Arabidopsis thaliana: one gene and its partners. Each later gene encodes a partner of the first gene's protein in a complex. Each region holds a gene or a part of one and is shown in the gene's direction. Other genes may lie near its edges.

Region 1 (4,624 bases):
AAAAGTAACCAATTAAAATCAACAAATTAGATTTGATATCTAAATTATCATATTAATGTTTTATTAATTATTATAATTCACTTCTCATCTTTATATGATTCTATTTTTGCAAAAAAATAATATCATCATTATAAAAAAATAATTAGAGTTTTTTCGCATATGCAATAATTAGAATTTTTAAAAACGAATATAAACTGTTAAATACATGAAAAAATATTATACCGGGTGAAAAATAGATTTAAGAAAACTTTCTACTGAGTAACGGGTCATAATTTGAAATATTTATATTTAATTTCATACATATTATATTGAAAATTTATAATCTTATATACTATAATAATTTTTATGTGTATGATGTGATTCAATTTTTAATACAAGCTAGAAAATCCTAGAATTGACGGGTTTAGATCGATATTAATATAAGATGGTATACTACAGGTGAAACTCTTAAATTAACAATCAAACTACAAGTGTATAATCTTAAACACTAAACAATATAGATAATATCAACAAAACATATACAACTCACAGTTTACTATACATTTAAAATTAAATAAAATAATATCATATATTTTTAAATCATCTTTACAATAAAAGTTTTTAGTTTAACTAAAATATAAGCCTACCTGCGGTATACTACAGGTTAATATCTAGATTATAGGGCTTATTGGATCTAAAGACGGGTCATCAAAGATTTCCTAAACTGAAGCAAAATATACTGAATACTCAAATATCTATCTGTTACCAAATTATAAACAAATAAGTTCGTAAAACAATTTAATATTTTATATACAAAATCAATTAAATCTTAATCACATAAAAATTAGCACAAAAAAAAGTATTCAACAATTAAAAAATTATCAAATCTCTGTGTTATATAAGTTTTGATACTATATTCGAATAAAGTGTAATATTCCTTTTCGATTTGTATTCTTTAACTAATTTAAGCTGACTAATATATTTGTTAATCTTATACCTATCAAAACCGACTATCGTTTTTTATCTCTATAGTATTTTTGCAACATTTGTTTGGTGGATTTGGGTAAAAGTGCATTCGGGTCATATGGTACATTCCCCTATTAAATAAATATGGTGTACTCCTATGTTATCAGCTAAAATATTTAAATTATAATTCAGAGTCATATCATTAGTAAAATTAATATTAATAAAATAAATGGCTTTTTGGCAAGACGGATTTGGAGTGACGGGTTTTTGAATCAACATTAATAAAAAAGTAAAATATAATTAATCCACTGTTTCAATACGGGTTAAATCTTTAATTTATTATTTTTTAAGATCACTAATATTAAACATATCAAATCATCCTAATTTAGAAAAGATTATATAAAACCAAAAATGTTATGTGGTATGTATAATATTACTATATATATAATTAAATTATAAAATATAAATGTATTAGAGAATATACAATTTACAAAACTTTTATATATAAAAAAGAATTCTTAAATTTTAAAAATTACTACTTTAAAAAAAAAATCACAGGACGGGTAAATAAATTATAGAACAGGTTTTATTTTGGAATTGGGTTATATGGTGGATGTATTTGAATCAATATTTATAAAATTTTAAATTATTATTATGCTGTTGTTTTAATAGGGGTTACAACTTCAGTTTTTTAACAATTATCTCATGGATTCGTGGTATAGCGTTATTTAATAACAATTATAAACTGTAAAATATAAATATATTTTAAAATTAAAAATTGCAAATTTTAATATATATTACTTTTAAAATCGTCCCGCGGTATACCGTGCGGTATACCGCGGGTTAAAATCTAGTTTATAGATAAAGCCAATACATTTCCTTGCTAAATTCAACATACTAACAACTAGATTAGTAGAGCTACAATTGCAAATATACCATTCCTTTTACAATATAATTATTTTAAAATAGGTTTTACTAGAACGATTCATCTTAATTAATATAAAATAGAAAAGAAAGTTTATTTTTAAATTTTTGCCTTTTTAACATTTGTAATCTTATCACACTAATATTGTGATGAATATATTAGAAAGTTATTTTGATTTTAGGAAATTGACAGTCTAAATTTTATAGATACATGAACTCATTTACGGACTAAATTCAACATACTAGCAATAACAGCTACAATCACAAATATAGTATATTCTTTTTGATAGATTTATCTGAAAATATATTTTTCACTAAAACAATTAATCTTAACTAATAAAATGGAAAAAGAAAGTTCATTTATGAATTTTTGTCTTTTTAACAATAAGAGTCTCATCACATTAATATTGCTAGTGATGAAATATGTTGAAAAATAGGTTTACTTTTGGTAGTAAACCAATAAAAGAATAATCTGAATTTGTAGCATTGATTTCTTATAATATTGTGAATTTTAAATACCTGAAAGGTGAATTTAAATGATCAGTAATTACAATATTAGTCTCGCAAGAAAACAAGAAATTTCCTTTTCCAAAACCGAAATAACTAATAAAATCAAATCCAAGACTTTTGCGGCGGTGACAGACTCTATAAAGAAGTTTCAGTCCCAAGACTCCCTCACATTATTTTCTCTCGCTCTCGAACAAAATGGTCGTGAAATCTGGAATTGAAATAGGAACAAGGAGATGAGTTTAATAGAAGATTGTCTAAGAAGCTACCGTTTCATTGCAATAGACACAGAGTTTCCATCTACTTTGAGGGAAACTACACAACATGCGACAGATGAGGAACGTTACATGGATATGAGTTTTAGTGTGGACAGAGCAAAATTGATCCAGTTAGGGCTAACTCTGTTCGATATCAATGGAAGAATTGGAGGAACATGGGAGATCAATTTCTCTGATTTCGGAGTTGACGATGCTAGAAACGAGAAATCCATTGAGTTCCTTAGACGCAACGGTCTAGATCTAAGGAAGATTAGAGAAGAGGGCATCAGAATCGAGGGTTTCTTCTCGGAGATGTTTTGGATGCTGAAGAAGACGAGGAGGAATATTACTTGGGTCACGTTTCATGGATCTTACGACATCGCCTATTTACTCAAGGGTTTCACCGGAGAAGCTTTACCTGTGACTTCAGAGAGGTTTTCTAAAGCGGTCGCGAGAGTTCTCGGTTCTGTTTACGATTTGAAAGTCATGGCGGGTCGATGTGAAGGACTAAGTAGCAGGCTTGGTTTGGAGACTCTAGCGCATGAGTTCGGACTTAACCGTGTTGGTACTGCACACCACGCCGGTTCCAATAACGAGTTAACGGCGATGGTTTTCGCTAAGGTACTGTCTCCGTTTCCTCTCTTTCTTCGTTTTGGTTCTTTGGAGTTAAGAACTATAGAAAGTGAAGCAATAGTGTAGTGTGTGTGTGTGCTTTGTGCCTTTGTCTAATCCTAAGACTGATCAATGATATATGTCCGTTCAATTATTTTTCTAGTAATGAGATGTTTTCAAGACTCAAGATACATTGAAGATGGAGAAGTAGCAGCATACACCAAGAATAATTTGACATGGCCCAATTGAACAAGATCATTCCCATCCTTTACCATGTCTTGTGATCCTAGCTTGTGTTTCTGCTGTGTATTGATTTGTGATCTTAATTCAACACTAGAACTTTTTCTTCATTACATGTTGACTTGACTAAAATGTTGATACTAATATACTACACAATCATTTAGATGCATGAATGATCAAGTTCTATTCTGATTGATATTGTCTTCATAGAACTTAGTGATTAACTAAATTTTATTTATACACTATTATTCAAATAACCATTTGTATCGTATTCTCATTTACATGGCTTTGATAGAATTTAGTAATGCTCAGTTTATATAAATTGCCAAATATGATACCAAATATTTGTGCCTCGTCATAGATCATGAATTAAACTACTGTATATGATTATCTAGTTATTATTTTTATTATTTTAATTAAGTCCGAACTGTATTTAAAATGTTTAATAAAAATAATTTATTAACTTCAAATATTTCATAAATATCTCATACAATGAGCTCACAGGCAGAAAAAAAGAAATAAAATATTCAAAATCTAAAGTTCCTACCTGCTATTTTTCTGCAAATTCTCTCACTTCACTAGATATTTTTTGATTAAAATCGAGAAAAGTAAATGGTTTAAAGATGATATTTTCCGATTAGTAACCACTTTTGAGGAAAAAAATGAGTAGGAAAATCGTGTTCCTCTTTGTTCCTAATTTTGTTTTAGCATTTGCAAGGTATTTTTGTTCCAATTTCAGACATGTGGGTCCTACATTTTTCCTCATCATTCCTAAAAAAAAAAGAATAATAGAACAAAATTGTTTCACCCCAAAATTGTAGAGGAACCAAGAGTAACAAAAAAAATAAAATTCGTTTTTATTTATTAAATAAATTTAAAATAGCTTTTATGATAATATTTATATTTCTATATATAATATTTTCCATGTCTTTAGTATATATTGATATATAATTTTTTTTATCAAACTTTCAATTTAATGAATGTTATGAATTTATTTTAAATTAGTATAAATAAATGTTTTAAAGTGAAATTTATTTTAAATTTGCAAAATAATTTAAAATTTTACTATAAAATAAATAAATGTTTTGGAGAGAAATTTATAATATAATTTATTTTAAATTTATACAGAACTTTAATTT
Region 2 (8,094 bases), on another chromosome or scaffold:
CCAATCAGAGTGCAAAAACGGAGATGACAGTATATTTCAACCAATAAGGAGGCAGAATCAGATCACCAGTGGGTTCCATTATAAGTTTCCTCTTGACTAACCACCAATAGCTAGTTTTACACAGAACTTAAATTTTTCATTTTTTTTTGTCTTTTAATATTTCAACAAGATCAATTTTATTATTTGATATTAACCATCTTCAACAGTGTTTGCCAACGAAAAAAAAACACCATCTATAACAGTGTCTTCACCAAACTGTATTTCACTATGACTTATTTTCCGAAAAGAATGATGAAGTTTAGTACCATACATGAACTAGCGGTTAGATCGTAATTAAGAATTTGAGGATCATATTTTACTATATCATGAAAACGGAGAGAGCGCAAAATTACAGACATATTGGTTCAAAATTTTATTTAAGAATAAAGTATATATATGGTTCTAATTTTTCAAAAAAAAAGTATATGGTTCTAAACATTTATTTGAAAGTACGTAATATAATGAAAACAAAAATTGTAAATTTGAAGTAAAAAACTCGTGAAAAGTCCTCATTCTAAAATACCATGTACACGTACATAATAAACTATGAATAGAATTATGAGTTTTTATTTATATTTCTATCTCCACTCCAAATAATTTAGACCACACAAGGTAATGAAAAAATAATAATTCTGAAAAAAATGAAAAATACTGCCGGGAAATCGAGACGCCACACACACTAGTGAATTCGTTGCAAAACCATATATATTACAGTATTTTGTTCTTCTCAAGGCCTCTCTCTCCATCTCAGCAACTCTCTCACTGTGTAATATACACACACAATGGTGGTCGATGTAGAGAGCCGAACCGCGAGCGTGACAGGAGAGAAGATGGCGGCGCGTGGCTGTGATGCGTGCATGAAGAGATCACGTGCTAGTTGGTACTGTCCAGCCGATGACGCTTTCCTATGCCAAAGCTGCGACGCCTCGATCCACTCGGCTAACCATTTAGCGAAACGGCACGAACGTGTCCGGTTACAATCATCTTCGCCGACGGAGACGGCAGACAAAACGACGTCGGTATGGTACGAAGGATTCAGGAGAAAGGCGAGAACGCCTAGGAGCAAGAGTTGTGCGTTTGAGAAGTTGTTGCAAATCGAGTCAAACGATCCTCTTGTTCCGGAGCTTGGTGGAGACGAAGATGATGGCTTTTTCTCGTTCTCCTCCGTAGAAGAAACCGAGGAGAGTCTGAATTGTTGCGTGCCTGTTTTCGATCCTTTCTCAGACATGCTGATTGATGATATAAACGGCTTTTGCTTAGTTCCTGATGAAGTCAATAACACTACTACTAATGGAGAATTAGGAGAAGTCGAGAAGGCAATCATGGACGATGAAGGTTTTATGGGGTTCGTGCCATTGGATATGGATCTTGAGGATCTCACTATGGACGTGGAGAGTTTACTTGAGGAAGAACAACTTTGCTTGGGATTCAAGGAACCAAACGATGTTGGAGTCATCAAAGAAGAGAATAAAGTAGGGTTTGAGATTAATTGTAAGGATTTGAAGAGGGTGAAAGATGAAGATGAAGAAGAAGAAGAAGCCAAGTGTGAAAATGGAGGATCAAAGGATAGTGATAGAGAAGCATCAAATGATAAAGATAGAAAGACAAGTTTGTTTCTGAGATTAGATTATGGAGCTGTGATTAGTGCTTGGGATAATCACGGTTCGCCGTGGAAAACCGGAATCAAACCGGAGTGCATGGTAAGTTGGTGTCTCTAGCTATATCTCTCATCTCTATGTTAGTCTTTAGTAGTGTCGAGTTCCGTTGACTTTGAGCTGATATATATTGATTATAAAAGACGAAATAACGTTATAAAGTTCACTGATCCAGTTGGGAGGGAACACGTGTCTGCCTCATGTTGTGGGTGGGTACGAGAAATTGATGTCGAGCGACGGATCGGTGACACGTCAGCAAGGGAGAGACGGAGGAGGATCGGACGGGGAGAGAGAGGCGAGGGTTTTGAGGTACAAGGAGAAGCGGAGGACGAGGTTGTTCTCAAAGAAAATAAGATATGAGGTTCGGAAACTTAACGCTGAGCAGAGACCTCGAATCAAAGGTCGTTTCGTGAAGAGGACGTCACTTTTGACGTGATTTGATTTACTTTAATCAACACTTTAAAGATCTTGTAATTAAGACCTTTGAAGTAATTGTCGTAATGTACTGAATAATGAACTGAAACTCTTGGGGCCGATGGTTGTGTAGACTTGTAGCCGGCAACTATGATTTTATAGATTGATTGATTGAGTAATTTATTGTATATATCAAATGAAAACTCTTTGTTTATCAAATGAATTGGAGAAAAAAGCCATAATGTGTGATAATAACGAACACTAAAAAATTCGTAGCGAAGACATGTTACAAAGAAAACAAGTGTAATTAAAAAAAACAAAAAAAAAACAAGAAACAAGTTCAAATTAGAACATGCCATTTCCAACAATTTACAAATGAAGCAAGAAATAAAAGCCATTAAGGCCTAGTTATGGCTGAATAGCCCATCACACAATTAAAAAAACCAACATAAAGAGCCCAACTAGGCAACTACTTAAGCCAACCGGTTTGGGTTATCAAGTACGTATTTTAATCGTTAACCAGTAAAAATCGTGAATTTCAACCGACTGAATTTGGTTAACTTCACAAGGTTGACGCATAGCTCACGCGCCGCCGACTTGCTACGATTGACATGAGCGGATACGAGCGTAAGAACACGACGGCGAACTCAATCACCATCACCAAGCGGAAGCGTAACTCGATTTCGGAACAATCGGAGAACGTATACGAGAAATCGAATAGGAAGGAGTCAATAACCTTAAAACCTCACCGTTCTTTTACGCCGGGATTCAGCCAGCGTGATTGTAAACCTGTCAGACATAGTAAGTCTTCTCTCCGCCGGCGACGGAGAACTAAGGAGAAGATCTCGAGTTCCGTTGAGCGCGAATGGGTGTTTTCCGCAAACAATTTTGAAAATCTAGCAGGTCTGTGTGCATTGCAATCACACTGAATAATGCACTTATATGCTTTTATTAGCTTCACGAAGTATCACATTCCGTACTTTGAACACATTTTTATCTTATGTGTATGAAAAACTTGATATCTCCTTTTCAATTCTTCAGATAAATTAGTATTAGTTTCGTACAATCTACTTGGTGTTGACAATGCGTCGAACCACATGGACTTGTATTACAATGTTCCGCGGAAGCACTTAGAGTGGAGTAGACGGAAACATCTCATATGCAAGGAGATTAGTCGTTACAATGCAAGCATCTTATGTCTTCAGGCAAGTTCCAGGGGATTGCCTAGATCTACACTATTTAAGTTTCATTGCATTCTCATGTCCAAATTTATTGCAGGAGGTTGACCGCTTTGATGATTTAGATGTTCTTCTTAAAAATAGAGGATTTCGAGGTGTTCACAAGGTATATATACGAGTCAAAAGCTTTATTACCTTGTATGCAATGGTGCCTTTTTCATACATTTAGTATTTTTTAGAGTCGGACTGGAGAAGCGAGTGATGGTTGTGCTATATTTTGGAAAGAGAATCTGTAAGTTCAGTTTTTTTCTATTTAGGATCATTTTTAATGTGGTGGGAAGTCTCTATATGCTGGAGTCAGGATCAGGAATCTAGCCATTTGAATTGTCTACAGGGAATATCTCTCTTTTGGAACGAGATAAATTAGATCTTCTAGTTATCTGTTTTGAATGTTTCGAAATTGTTAATGGTAGGTTCACGTTGTGTTATGTTATCAGCTTTGACCTTGGCTTCACAATATATTGTTCAAGGCTGAAAGCTTTGCTTTCTATTGTTCTCGATGTTATTTATTTTGTATTAGACTCTTACTCTACTAGTTTCATCATTTATGTTATATTTCTGCTGTGAATGCAGATTTGAACTTCTAGACCATCAACATATAGAGTTTGATAAATTTGGTATGCGAAACAATGTTGCTCAACTTTGTGTTTTAGAGGTATGCACCGTTTTAAGTTATTTCTGTATTGTCGTCTTCCCCCTCTTTTCTCCTCTGTCTTTTCTTGATTCTAGAAGCACAGAGATATGACAAGCTTAATTGTGGGCATTATTTTATATATTTTTCCCTCCTGTTGTGTTTTCAGCTTTGCAGGCTAATTGCTTAATTTTCTTAGTTTCAGCCCTTGCAATTAATTAATTTACTTGATTGTCTATTACGGAACAGATGAACTGTGAGGAGGACCCAAAGTCTAAATTACGGGTGCGATCATCAGAGTATGTCTGAGTTCTGTTCTGATTCCTTTACTGGAGTGAATATTGAACTTACTTTTAAGATCCTTACTAAATTTTATGCGCACTTCCATGTTTGGTTGATTTATGCAAACTTCTACTAGTCCTCGAAGGCTAGTGGTTGGGAATATACATGTCCTATTCAATCCTAAGCGTGGGGATATCAAGCTTGGCCAGGTATGTCTTGCTAGATCCTTACAAAATTCTGATAAAAACTGGCTTATCCATAAAATCGGTAGAGCATTTCTGTCACTACACATCCTGAGTTTAGAAATGTCAATTTTTTAGCTAGTACTATTTTATGGTATTCATCAGTACATCAATGCCTGTCAGTATTGAAACTTCATTGAAATTCTAAGTAGCTCGCTCATTTCTTGATATTTGATATGTCATAACTTATAGGTAAGACTCTTTCTGGAGAAGGCTTACAAGCTATCACAGGAATGGGGAAATATTCCTGTGGCGATTGCAGGTGATCTGAATAGCACTCCACAGGTGATCTCTACCAACTTTTGTTTTTTTTGTTCTAATACTTATTTTTTAGCTGAATTCTAAAACTTACTCTGGATTTGCTGTACAGAGTGCAATCTATGATTTCATAGCTTCAGCTGATGTGAGTTCCATTGAGGGTTCTGGACTCTTTCTTTTACATTTCGCCTGGTCATAATTTTTTTCCTTTCTTTACTGGGAAAGTTAGAATGAACTCTTTATATTCCTTTTTTAATTTTGGACAGTTGGATACACAACTTCACGATCGCAGGCAAATTTCTGGCCAGACTGAAGTGGAACCAAAGGAGAGGTCATTCAGAAACCATTATGCATTTAGGTAGCTTGTAATTCACCGGGGTCTTTGGTTTCTCTAAATAATGTATCCATATTCCTTTTCTGCCTACCTGATGAACGGATAGATTGCTTATATCTCTTCTGTTTACCTGATGAACTGATAGAGTGATAGATTACTTATATTTTTCTTTGGCCTGCGCTTAATCAACTACGTAATCCTCAGATGAAGTTTCTATCTCAATTTAGTCTAACTAAACAACTCCCTCTTTCGTCAGTGCTTCAGCATCCATCTCCGGATCACTACTCAATGAGTGGAGCCAGGAAGAATTACAGCTTGCAACTGGTGGTCAAGAAACCACTCATGTCCAACATCAACTGAAGCTTAACAGCGCATATAGTGGAGTTCCTGTAAGTGTTTTTGTTTCTTGTTCTCGACTGGTGGACGCATCGAAAAGAGTTGAAATCTGCCTTACAGGAAAACTAAGTTCTTAGGAACTGTGGCTTTCTTTTATACTAGATACTGAAAAACGTTTAGGGAAAGTAGCATGTTGTATGATGTTATATATCCTTCTAGTATGCTAAGACCTGAGATCTTGCAGGGTACATATAGAACTAGAGATCAACGCGGTGAACCATTGGCAACAACGTATCATTCCAGGTTCCTTGGAACTGTTGATTATATATGGTAAGTCTGTTGTGCTTATGAAATCCGAATCATTAATCAGAGCTTTCAATTATATATGGCTATCAATGTTGTGATATATGCACATGTAATTTTGAAATCTCAATAATTAATCTGAGGTTTTGAACCCAGGCATACCAAGGAACTCGTTCCTGTGAGGGTTCTTGAGACCTTGCCAGCAGATGTATTGAGAAGAACAGGTGGACTACCTAGTGAGGTAAGTTTTTTTTTCTAGGCTAAACTTTTTTTCTGGGGCAACCCTTTACTTTCTCGAGTTACTCTATTCATTTTTTCAAGAATGTAAAAACTGGGATTATTGGAAGAGTTGCATACAAGTCTCTGACCAATGAAAATTTGCAGAATTGGGGAAGCGACCATCTCGCTATCGCATGTGAACTCGGCTTTGTCAATGACTGGCAATGAGCCAAAATGTTAGCACCAACCACTAAACCGAGCCACCTGACTTGGCCATCCCTTGAGGTTTTTGAATGCTCATCGAGGCTTCTGAATTGGAGTTCGGAAACAGATTCAGTAAATTGTAAAACATAAACAAGTTTTGGGCTCATTCCCATACATAGATTTGCTTACTTGAAACATTTTTTTTTACCTTACCTACCCAAGACTTGCACCTACTCTTTCTGCTTTTAAAAAGTTAATACCAAAATAGCATGTTACTGGACGTGTACCTATGAGGAGCGAAGACCCATTTTGCTACTAGAAGCAAAACAATGTAAGAGACGTTGCGTAAAAAGTATCTCAATCTGTTCACTCCAAAATAAGCTCTTCTCAAGTGTCATCTGACGCTGCATTAATCAAAATACCACACGGTATTATCAAAAGTGTCGTAAGCATTCTTTCCAAGTGTTGGGAATACATTGGGTACACAAATCGGCCATTTACAGTTAACACACATCTATTTAAATCACTCTTTTCTCTTTGCTCCACCAAAACATTCCGGCATAAACAAAAAAAAGTCCCACTAGAAAAGCTCATTATGAAAGTGAACGAGGAAAACAACAAGCCGACAAAGACCCATGTCTTAATCTTCCCATTTCCGGCGCAAGGTCACATGATTCCCCTCCTCGACTTCACCCACCGCCTTGCTCTCCGCGGCGGCGCCGCCTTAAAAATAACCGTCCTAGTCACTCCAAAAAACCTTCCTTTTCTCTCTCCGCTTCTCTCCGCCGTAGTTAACATCGAACCACTTATCCTCCCTTTTCCCTCCCACCCTTCAATCCCCTCCGGCGTCGAAAACGTCCAAGACTTACCTCCTTCAGGCTTCCCTTTAATGATCCACGCGCTTGGTAATCTCCACGCGCCGCTTATCTCTTGGATTACTTCTCACCCTTCTCCTCCAGTAGCCATCGTATCTGATTTCTTCCTTGGTTGGACCAAAAACCTCGGAATCCCTCGTTTCGATTTCTCTCCCTCCGCTGCTATCACTTGCTGCATACTCAATACTCTCTGGATCGAAATGCCCACCAAGATCAACGAAGATGACGATAACGAGATCCTCCACTTTCCCAAGATCCCGAATTGTCCAAAATACCGTTTTGATCAGATCTCCTCTCTTTACAGAAGTTACGTTCACGGAGATCCAGCTTGGGAGTTCATAAGAGACTCCTTTAGAGATAACGTGGCGAGTTGGGGACTCGTCGTGAACTCGTTCACCGCCATGGAAGGTGTTTATCTCGAACATCTTAAGCGAGAGATGGGCCATGATCGTGTATGGGCTGTAGGCCCAATTATTCCGTTATCTGGGGATAACCGTGGTGGCCCGACTTCTGTTTCTGTTGATCACGTGATGTCGTGGCTTGACGCACGTGAGGATAACCACGTGGTGTACGTGTGCTTTGGAAGTCAAGTAGTTTTGACTAAAGAGCAGACTCTTGCACTCGCCTCTGGGCTTGAGAAAAGCGGCGTCCATTTCATATGGGCCGTAAAGGAGCCCGTTGAGAAAGACTCAACACGTGGCAACATCCTGGACGGTTTCGACGATCGCGTGGCTGGGAGAGGTCTGGTGATCAGAGGATGGGCTCCACAAGTAGCTGTGCTACGTCACCGAGCCGTTGGCGCGTTTTTAACGCACTGTGGTTGGAACTCTGTGGTGGAGGCGGTTGTCGCCGGCGTTTTGATGCTGACGTGGCCGATGAGAGCTGACCAGTACACTGACGCGTCTCTGGTGGTTGATGAGTTGAAAGTAGGTGTGCGTGCTTGCGAAGGACCTGACACGGTGCCTGACCCGGACGAGTTAGCTCGAGTTTTCGCTGATTCCGTGACCGGAAATCAAACGGAGAGGATCAAAGCCGTGGAGCTGAGGAAAGCAGCGTTGGATGCG
Region 3 (7,068 bases), 5.7 Mb from region 1:
ACTAAATAATTGATCTAGACCGCACCGGCTGGTTCAACCACAGTATCACGGTTTTATCTGTCCAATTGACCAATCTGGCCCATATTATTTTACAAATAAGATCTTTCAAATTGGCCCATATTTAACAAAAGAAAATCGAATTAATATTATGGTTTTCTAAATGAACCAAAATCAACTCAACTTTTTTTTTTTGAATAATTTTATTTTTATTCCATAATTTAATTTGTTTATCATTTCCAATGAAATTTTATCATTAATAAAAAAGGTTGCTCTCCTCATCCCTTCCATCTTTCCTTTCACATTTTTTAGATTATACCTCATGTTTGAATAATATTGGTTTACATATCTAATTCATATTGAAAAACCCTCCAAATCTCTAGAGAAAAAGGACGATAAGAGTACTTAACTCACAAAGGGCAAATACCCAACTTTTGAATCTCCTTACATATTTTATGACAAACTATGAAGGTGTCCTCCAAATACTCTTTAATCATCTTTTGATTATCATCTATAATGATTGTTTCTTCAGACCTCATACCCATATCTTCGAGCGGTTTTAGTATCTTTACTGTCTCGTTAAATAGATTCTCATTTACCATTTCTAAGCATTTCTTCTCTTCTATCGTTAGATCAACTTTCAATTTTTGTATGTCTTTGACGGCTTCCAACAAAACTAACAACAACAAAAAGAAAAATCAAATCAAAAGATTTCACTATAAAGAACAAAAAATAAACAAATTGTTAGTTACCATCATAGAACAAATAATATTCAGCTGCCACAACCCTTTTGAAAAGTTGAATACGTTCTGTGCTTTTGCTCATCTCAACAATTTTGATTAAAAAAAAAAATATCTAATGCATTCTTTGTTACAAGGTCGAGATGTTATTTTGTAGCGTATATAGTGTTTGAGGCTTCTTTGTTTGGAAAAGATCGCTTTCGAAAAATAATAATTATTATTATTTTCCATGTTATGCTTCATATAAAATGTGGACTCAGGCCTCCGAAATAACAAATAGAAAAAATTGTGTTGAATGCTTAAAAACGAGAAAGAAATCTCTCAACTTTGATTTACTGGACACGCATTGTATTTGTTTTCTATAATTAGTTCAAAATAATAATTTGTAAATAGTTATCTAAATTCGGTAAAATACAAACCGATAACTTTTCATATCAAATACAACAAAAGTTAGATATAAATCTTAAATTTCTATACTTTAAAATTGAGTAAACCTGAAAAGAATGAAATTTAGTCTACCTAAATTTATTAAAAACCAACAAAATTTTCATAATTCGAACCTTAATTATTTCAGGTTTGAACCGCTTATATTTATGAAAACCAAATGAACTAGCTAAAACGAAAACAAAAGCGAAAATGAACATGACAATTTTGACAATGTTAAAATGTGATTCTTTCATTAATTTGACAAATTCAACAATTCTTAAGAAGATCAATTGAATTGATAAACTATGCTGCTCTTCTTGGGTAATTCTCACATTTTAAAAAAAAAACAAAAAAGAAGAAGAAGTTAATTCTACCTTAATCTGCAACAAATCGTCTTCAAGATAATTATATCACGAATTGATATTTCTTGTCTCTTAATCTTAACGAAGAAACTACACCTCCTGGCTCCTACTGAATGTGCGTTGAACACTCACCTATTGACTCATCTTCACCATTCCTTCTTTCTTCAATCTATCATAGATATAAATACACTTCTTTTAAGTCACCAATCTTGTTTTCGTAATGGTACGAGTCATAAATCTTGATTTGTCTTTGGTAAGTCATGTTTAGTTGTGGATTATTTGTTTTTACGCATTTTCTAGATTTTAAAATTTTATCTTTATATAAACAAAAATAAAACGAAAAACTTTCAATCTTTGAGCGCCAAAACCAAAATTTTCATCGAAAAGGAAGATCAATTAAAATATTATAAAATTTCATAATAATGTCTTCAAAGCACAAAATAATAGTTTTAGTATTAAACCCACTCGGGGAAAAAAAACACATAAAAAAACCAAAATCGATTTCATTGATTTTTTCCATATTCACAGCGAAAGAATCGATCCTTAATACAAAATTCCTTCAAGATCTCACATCTCTTATAAGCTTTCTCGATACCATCATTTTCCTTTCTTTTTTTCTTTTCTTCGATTCTAATTTGGTTCTGCCGGATCTTCAACCTTGTCTGAAGAAGACATTTTCTAGGGTTTCTAGAGATTGGTCGGGTTTTCGGTTCAAGTAAATGGTGGATCAGCCTATCGTACGCTCCACTTCATTAGGTTATCAACGACAATATTCATCATCTAATAATCATCATCAAGGTCTTGCTTCGATTCTGAATCTCTGCTGCTGCTGCTTCGATAGTGTTCTTCGACAATCACCAGGTGTTATTGAAAAGCAATGCTGAGCGTGATCCGAGTGCATCTTCCTTCTGAAATTCCCATTGTGGGCTGTGAATTGACTCCTTACGTCCTTGTTCGTCGTCCCGATAAGAACTCCACCACTGATGACGTCCCTGAATCTGCTCCTCTTGAAGGCTACTTCTTGAGATACAGATGGTTAGATTTCTGATTGGCTCTTTGTCTAATTGCTTTCTTGGATCATTTGGCGAATTGGGGTTTATCAAAGATTGAATTTTGATCTGAATTCAGAGATTTCTCATGTAGATGTTCTGATTTAGGTCGTCAAATGGTTTTTGTGTGTAAAGTTCTGATCTTGTTGTAGATTCATTTTTTGGATTTATTTGTTGTAGGTATCGTGTACAGAGTGATAAGAAAGTAACGATTTGCAGTGTGCATCCAACGGAACAAGCTACTTTACAGTGTGTTTTCTGTTCTAAGCGTAGATCCCTTGTTCCAAAAAGCTATCACTGTTCGCCAAAATGCTTCACGGATGCGTGGCAGCATCACAGGACTTTGCACGAGCGAGCAGCTGCGGAAAACAACGCAAACGAGGATGATGACTTGAACAGGAATAACAGTGCGGGTTCTGGGTCTCTCGCTGGTTCCTTATCTGGGTCTATGTCAAATCTTAGTATTGCCAACAATGGTCCAGCTCCGTTTTATCCTTCTAATATTACTCAGAAAAATGGAGGAGAGACTTTAGTTGAGGTTGGGGGTTGCAAAACGTACACTCCAACAGCTGATGATATTAGCCACGTTTTGAAGTTCGAGTGTGTTGTGGCTAATGCTGAGACTAAACAGATTGTCGGACATCCTAGTACCATTTTGACTTCACGGGTTATTCCTGCTCCTTCTCCAAGCCCCCGTAAGCTAATCCCTGTTAACGGAGCTGATGGGATGGGTCACTTAGATCAAGATGCTCGGATTCAGTCTGCAGGATCATTCACTGTTCTTTCATATAACATTTTGTCTGATACTTCTGCAAGTAGCGACCTCTACAGTTACTGTCCTCCTTGGGCTCTTTCATGGCCATACCGAAGACAGAATTTGTTAAGGGAGATTGTTGGATATAGAGCCGATGTAGTTTGCCTGCAAGAAGTATGTTATTCGTATGGACTTGGTAATGATTTAAAGCATTTTAATTCTGAAAAATCTACTTCTAATGTGTTCTTTTTTTTGTTATCTGGCAGGTACAAAGTGATCATTTCCATGAAATTTTTGCTCCTGAGTTGGATAAGCATGGGTATCAAGCTCTTTACAAGAGGAAGACTAATGAGGTTTGGTCAATGATTCCACACACTCCTTCCTTCAGTGATTTATGTTTTAAAATCTATTAACCACAAATTTCTTGTTGCTAGGTTCTCAGCGGAAGTACAAGTGCCATTGACGGCTGTGCAACATTTTTCCGGCGGGATAGGTTTTCGCATGTCAAGAAATATGATGTTTGTATTCAGTTCTATATGTTTACTTGCTAGATCCAGTAAGATCTCTATACTAATTCATGGACTGTAAATCCAGGTTGAATTCAACAAGGCTGCTCAGTCTTTGACTGACGCTCTAATCCCTCAGGCTCAGAAGAGAACTGCTTTAAACCGACTGGTTAAGGTATTTTTGACATGGTATACAATATTTTTCTGGGCCACAGCTGATTATCAGAGAGTTATTGTTTACAAAACTGAAACCAATGATTCTTATGTTGTAGGATAACATTGCGTTGATAGTTGTTCTTGAAGCCAAATTTGGTAATCAACCTACTGATCCTTCTGGGAAGCGCCAGCTTATTTGTGTGGTACTGGTTCTTTTTTTTTTTCCATTCTCATGAGAACTGTTAGTTTCTGTATATGCTCTTTTAGTGAAAGCCAATGAATTTTCTTATTTTGTTGTGGCAACTTGTTTAGGCAAACACACATGTAAATGTTCAACAAGATCTGAAGGATGTGAAGCTCTGGCAGGTTGGTGTATCTCTATATCCGAAATAAATCAAATTTCATTGAACTCGAAAGAATTAGTATTCACCTCATGTTTTCTTTTATTCTTTTGCGTTTAGGTTCATACCTTATTAAAGGGACTAGAGAAAATAGCAGCTAGTGCCGATATTCCTATGCTTGTGTGTGGAGACTTCAATACGCTTCCTGGGAGGTTTGTTGATTCATAAATTCTTTTGACATGATACATGAAATGCAGAATTCTCTTATGAGTAGCTAAAGTTTTTCTTTTTGGCATTTTTATGACAGTGCACCTCATACACTTCTTGTAATGGGAAAGGTTGATCCAATGCACCCAGATCTGGCAGTCGATCCCCTTAATATCCTGCGTCCTCACACCAAATTGACTCATCAATTGCCTCTGGTAACATTGCTTTTTTCGATTTAAGTAAATTTATACCGCTTATCTTTGCGTCTCTCTTGGATATTTGATAAATGAATTGGTTTCAGGTGAGCGCGTACTCATCGTTTGTGAGAAAGGGAATAATGGGTCTTGGATTGGAACAACACAGAAGGAGAATAGATCTTAATACAAACGAGCCTTTGTTTACCAATTGTACAAGGGACTTCATCGGCACTCATGACTACATATTCTACACAGGTTTCACCATTTTTAACTCCATTGTCCTTGTTTTCAACTACATCAGAAATAACAAGTTAACTTAATTGGAAGATTTTTTTGTGTTTGGGTTTCAGCGGATACATTAATGGTGGAATCTCTATTGGAATTACTGGATGAAGATGGATTAAGAAAAGACACAGCTCTTCCTTCCCCAGAATGGTCTTCTAATCACATTGCTCTCTTAGCTGAATTTCGATGCACGCCTAGGACAAGACGCGGTTAACCGCCTTCACCACCCACCATCATTTGCTTACAGATAGGTTTTTTTTTTTTGTTCCGATCTTCTTCTTTGATCAGACTATGACATCAACTGTTTAGACGAAACCTTTACCAAATCTGTGATAGAGATGACACAAAGATTCAAAGGGATTCTGAGTAAGGCAAACCACTCTATGAAGTTGGTCATTCTTTATTATGACCCCTGTGTGGCTCTGTCTAAACCTCCTTTTATATCTCATTTTGATCCTCAATATAGTGAAAACCCTTTGACTTTTCTTTTCCTTGGATCAATTTTAATGTTTGAACTGCTTTGTATGACTAAATAGCTCATGAGAATAATATGGGTCTACTAGGGGGTTTTCTTTTTTCACATTGAACAAAGAGACGATTCGTGTCTACTACATAACCATTTAAAGAGCAAACATACACATCTGTGGCTGCTCCCTAATAATAAACAATAGAGATAAGTGAGAGAGAAAGAGAACATAATCGGTTCTTGAAGAATTGAAGTTAAAGCTTAGTCCCACGCACTAGCCACTCCAGGACCATACCCTTGGTTAGGAACGGTTCCATATCCTCCAGGACCATAGTAAGCACCACCACCTCTACCATAAGGTGCATAACCACCACCCGGAACATTTCCATATCCACCACCTGGTACGGGTCCGTACCCACCAGGCATTGCTCCATAGCCACCACCAGGAACGCCTCCATATCCACCACCTCCACCATAGTAGTCAGCACCACCACCGCCTCGACTAAAAGATTCTCTCCTGAAGTCACGACCACCAAACCGTCCACCAGACCGCCGGTTCTTACCACCTCCAAATGAAGCACGAGATGCGTATCGAGTCAGCCAGTCAGGGACCTCCTGGTTAGCTTCTTGCATTAGCTCAGCCAGTGGCTTGGCCATTGTTGTGTTGTTGTCATTGAAGAAAGCAGTTGCTAGTCCTGAATTTCCTGCACGTCCTGTTCGTCCGATACGGTGGACATAGTCATCAATGTCGTTTGGTAGATCAAAGTTCACTACATGAGCCACGTGCGGAATGTCAAGACCACGTGCTGCCACATCGGTTGCAACCAAAATAGGTGTCCGCCCAGTCTTGAATGATCTCAGTGCCACTTCTCTTTCCTTGTATGCATAAAAAATACAATAAGGTTTTAGCTTTGGTTGCACTGAAGAATACTCTACAATATCCTAATTTTGATATCAACAACTCACTAACCTGTTGTGACCTATCACCATGAATGGTCGTTGCTGGGAAACCATTGATGCACAACCAATTCTCCAAAGAGTCAGCTCCCTTCTTTGTCTCCACAAAAACTAGAGTCAAAGCTTGCTGTAGAATAAAATAAATTGGATTGTAAAGGTGCTCTTGAACAACAATGCATCAAATAGAACAAAGAGACAATGAAACAGAATCGTGAAACCGAAAGGAGCAATAGTACTGACTATGTTCACTTTTAACCATGAAACCAATCATATTGATTTAAATTACCTTTCCTTGGTTACCATTCTCCCTCTGGGCATGAAGAAGGTCCATTAGATGGCTTCTTTTGTCAGAATCATGAACAAACTCTACTCTTTGGACAATTAAATCCGTACTTGAACCCACTCTTCCAACAGCCAGAAATATGTAATTTGAAAGAAAATCAGATGCAAGTCTCTGCACACAAAAACAAAATCATAATTAAGTGCATATGGAATGTAAAAGATTCCTTTGCTGCACAGTACGCAACTTCTATCTTGTAATTTTAAGAGCCAAAATTTTGGTAGTGTCAACTTAAACAATAAACATTATTTAGACAACGAATTGAACCCTCCAGTAATAAAGGAA

What was found. The genes of interacting proteins can lie anywhere in the genome.
Region 2: AT3G44240 (region 1) and AT1G73875 share a complex: the UniProt entries of both Arabidopsis thaliana proteins name them as parts of the CCR4-NOT complex.
Region 3: AT3G44240 (region 1) and AT3G58580 share a complex: the UniProt entries of both Arabidopsis thaliana proteins name them as parts of the CCR4-NOT complex.

What each region holds. Positions count from the first base shown.
Region 1 is NC_003074.8:15,937,572-15,942,195, forward strand, and holds AT3G44240 (Polynucleotidyl transferase, ribonuclease H-like superfamily protein), read left to right. Parts: upstream 1-2,612; coding exon 2,613-3,332; downstream 3,333-4,624. UniProt on the Arabidopsis thaliana protein: Ubiquitous transcription factor required for a diverse set of processes. It is a component of the CCR4 complex involved in the control of gene expression.
Region 2 is NC_003070.9:27,778,393-27,786,486, forward strand, and holds AT1G73875 (DNAse I-like superfamily protein), read left to right. Parts: upstream 1-2,462; 5' UTR 2,463-2,719; coding exon 2,720-3,011; intron 3,012-3,149; coding exon 3,150-3,313; intron 3,314-3,386; coding exon 3,387-3,452; intron 3,453-3,525; coding exon 3,526-3,578; intron 3,579-3,919; coding exon 3,920-4,001; intron 4,002-4,226; coding exon 4,227-4,276; intron 4,277-4,395; coding exon 4,396-4,468; intron 4,469-4,693; coding exon 4,694-4,786; intron 4,787-4,871; coding exon 4,872-4,904; intron 4,905-5,025; coding exon 5,026-5,117; intron 5,118-5,349; coding exon 5,350-5,482; coding exon of another isoform or gene 5,483-5,566; exon of another isoform or gene 5,567-5,673; coding exon 5,674-5,759; intron 5,760-5,888; coding exon 5,889-5,973; intron 5,974-6,116; coding exon 6,117-6,179; 3' UTR 6,180-6,528; downstream 6,529-8,094. Other genes in the region: BBX16 (B-box type zinc finger protein with CCT domain-containing protein), read left to right, coding at 822-1,739, 1,870-2,130; UGT89B1 (UDP-glucosyl transferase 89B1), read left to right, coding at 6,751-8,094. UniProt on the Arabidopsis thaliana protein: Acts as a catalytic component of the CCR4-NOT core complex, which in the nucleus seems to be a general transcription factor, and in the cytoplasm the major mRNA deadenylase involved in mRNA turnover.
Region 3 is NC_003074.8:21,659,032-21,666,099, reverse strand, and holds AT3G58580 (DNAse I-like superfamily protein), read left to right. Parts: upstream 1-2,004; 5' UTR 2,005-2,402; coding exon 2,403-2,560; intron 2,561-2,754; coding exon 2,755-3,502; intron 3,503-3,594; coding exon 3,595-3,681; intron 3,682-3,762; coding exon 3,763-3,846; intron 3,847-3,922; coding exon 3,923-4,009; intron 4,010-4,106; coding exon 4,107-4,193; intron 4,194-4,302; coding exon 4,303-4,356; intron 4,357-4,451; coding exon 4,452-4,543; intron 4,544-4,638; coding exon 4,639-4,753; intron 4,754-4,839; coding exon 4,840-4,990; intron 4,991-5,085; coding exon 5,086-5,234; 3' UTR 5,235-5,502; downstream 5,503-7,068. Other genes in the region: AT3G58570 (P-loop containing nucleoside triphosphate hydrolases superfamily protein), read right to left, coding at 5,748-6,362, 6,457-6,570, 6,730-6,897. UniProt on the Arabidopsis thaliana protein: Acts as a catalytic component of the CCR4-NOT core complex, which in the nucleus seems to be a general transcription factor, and in the cytoplasm the major mRNA deadenylase involved in mRNA turnover.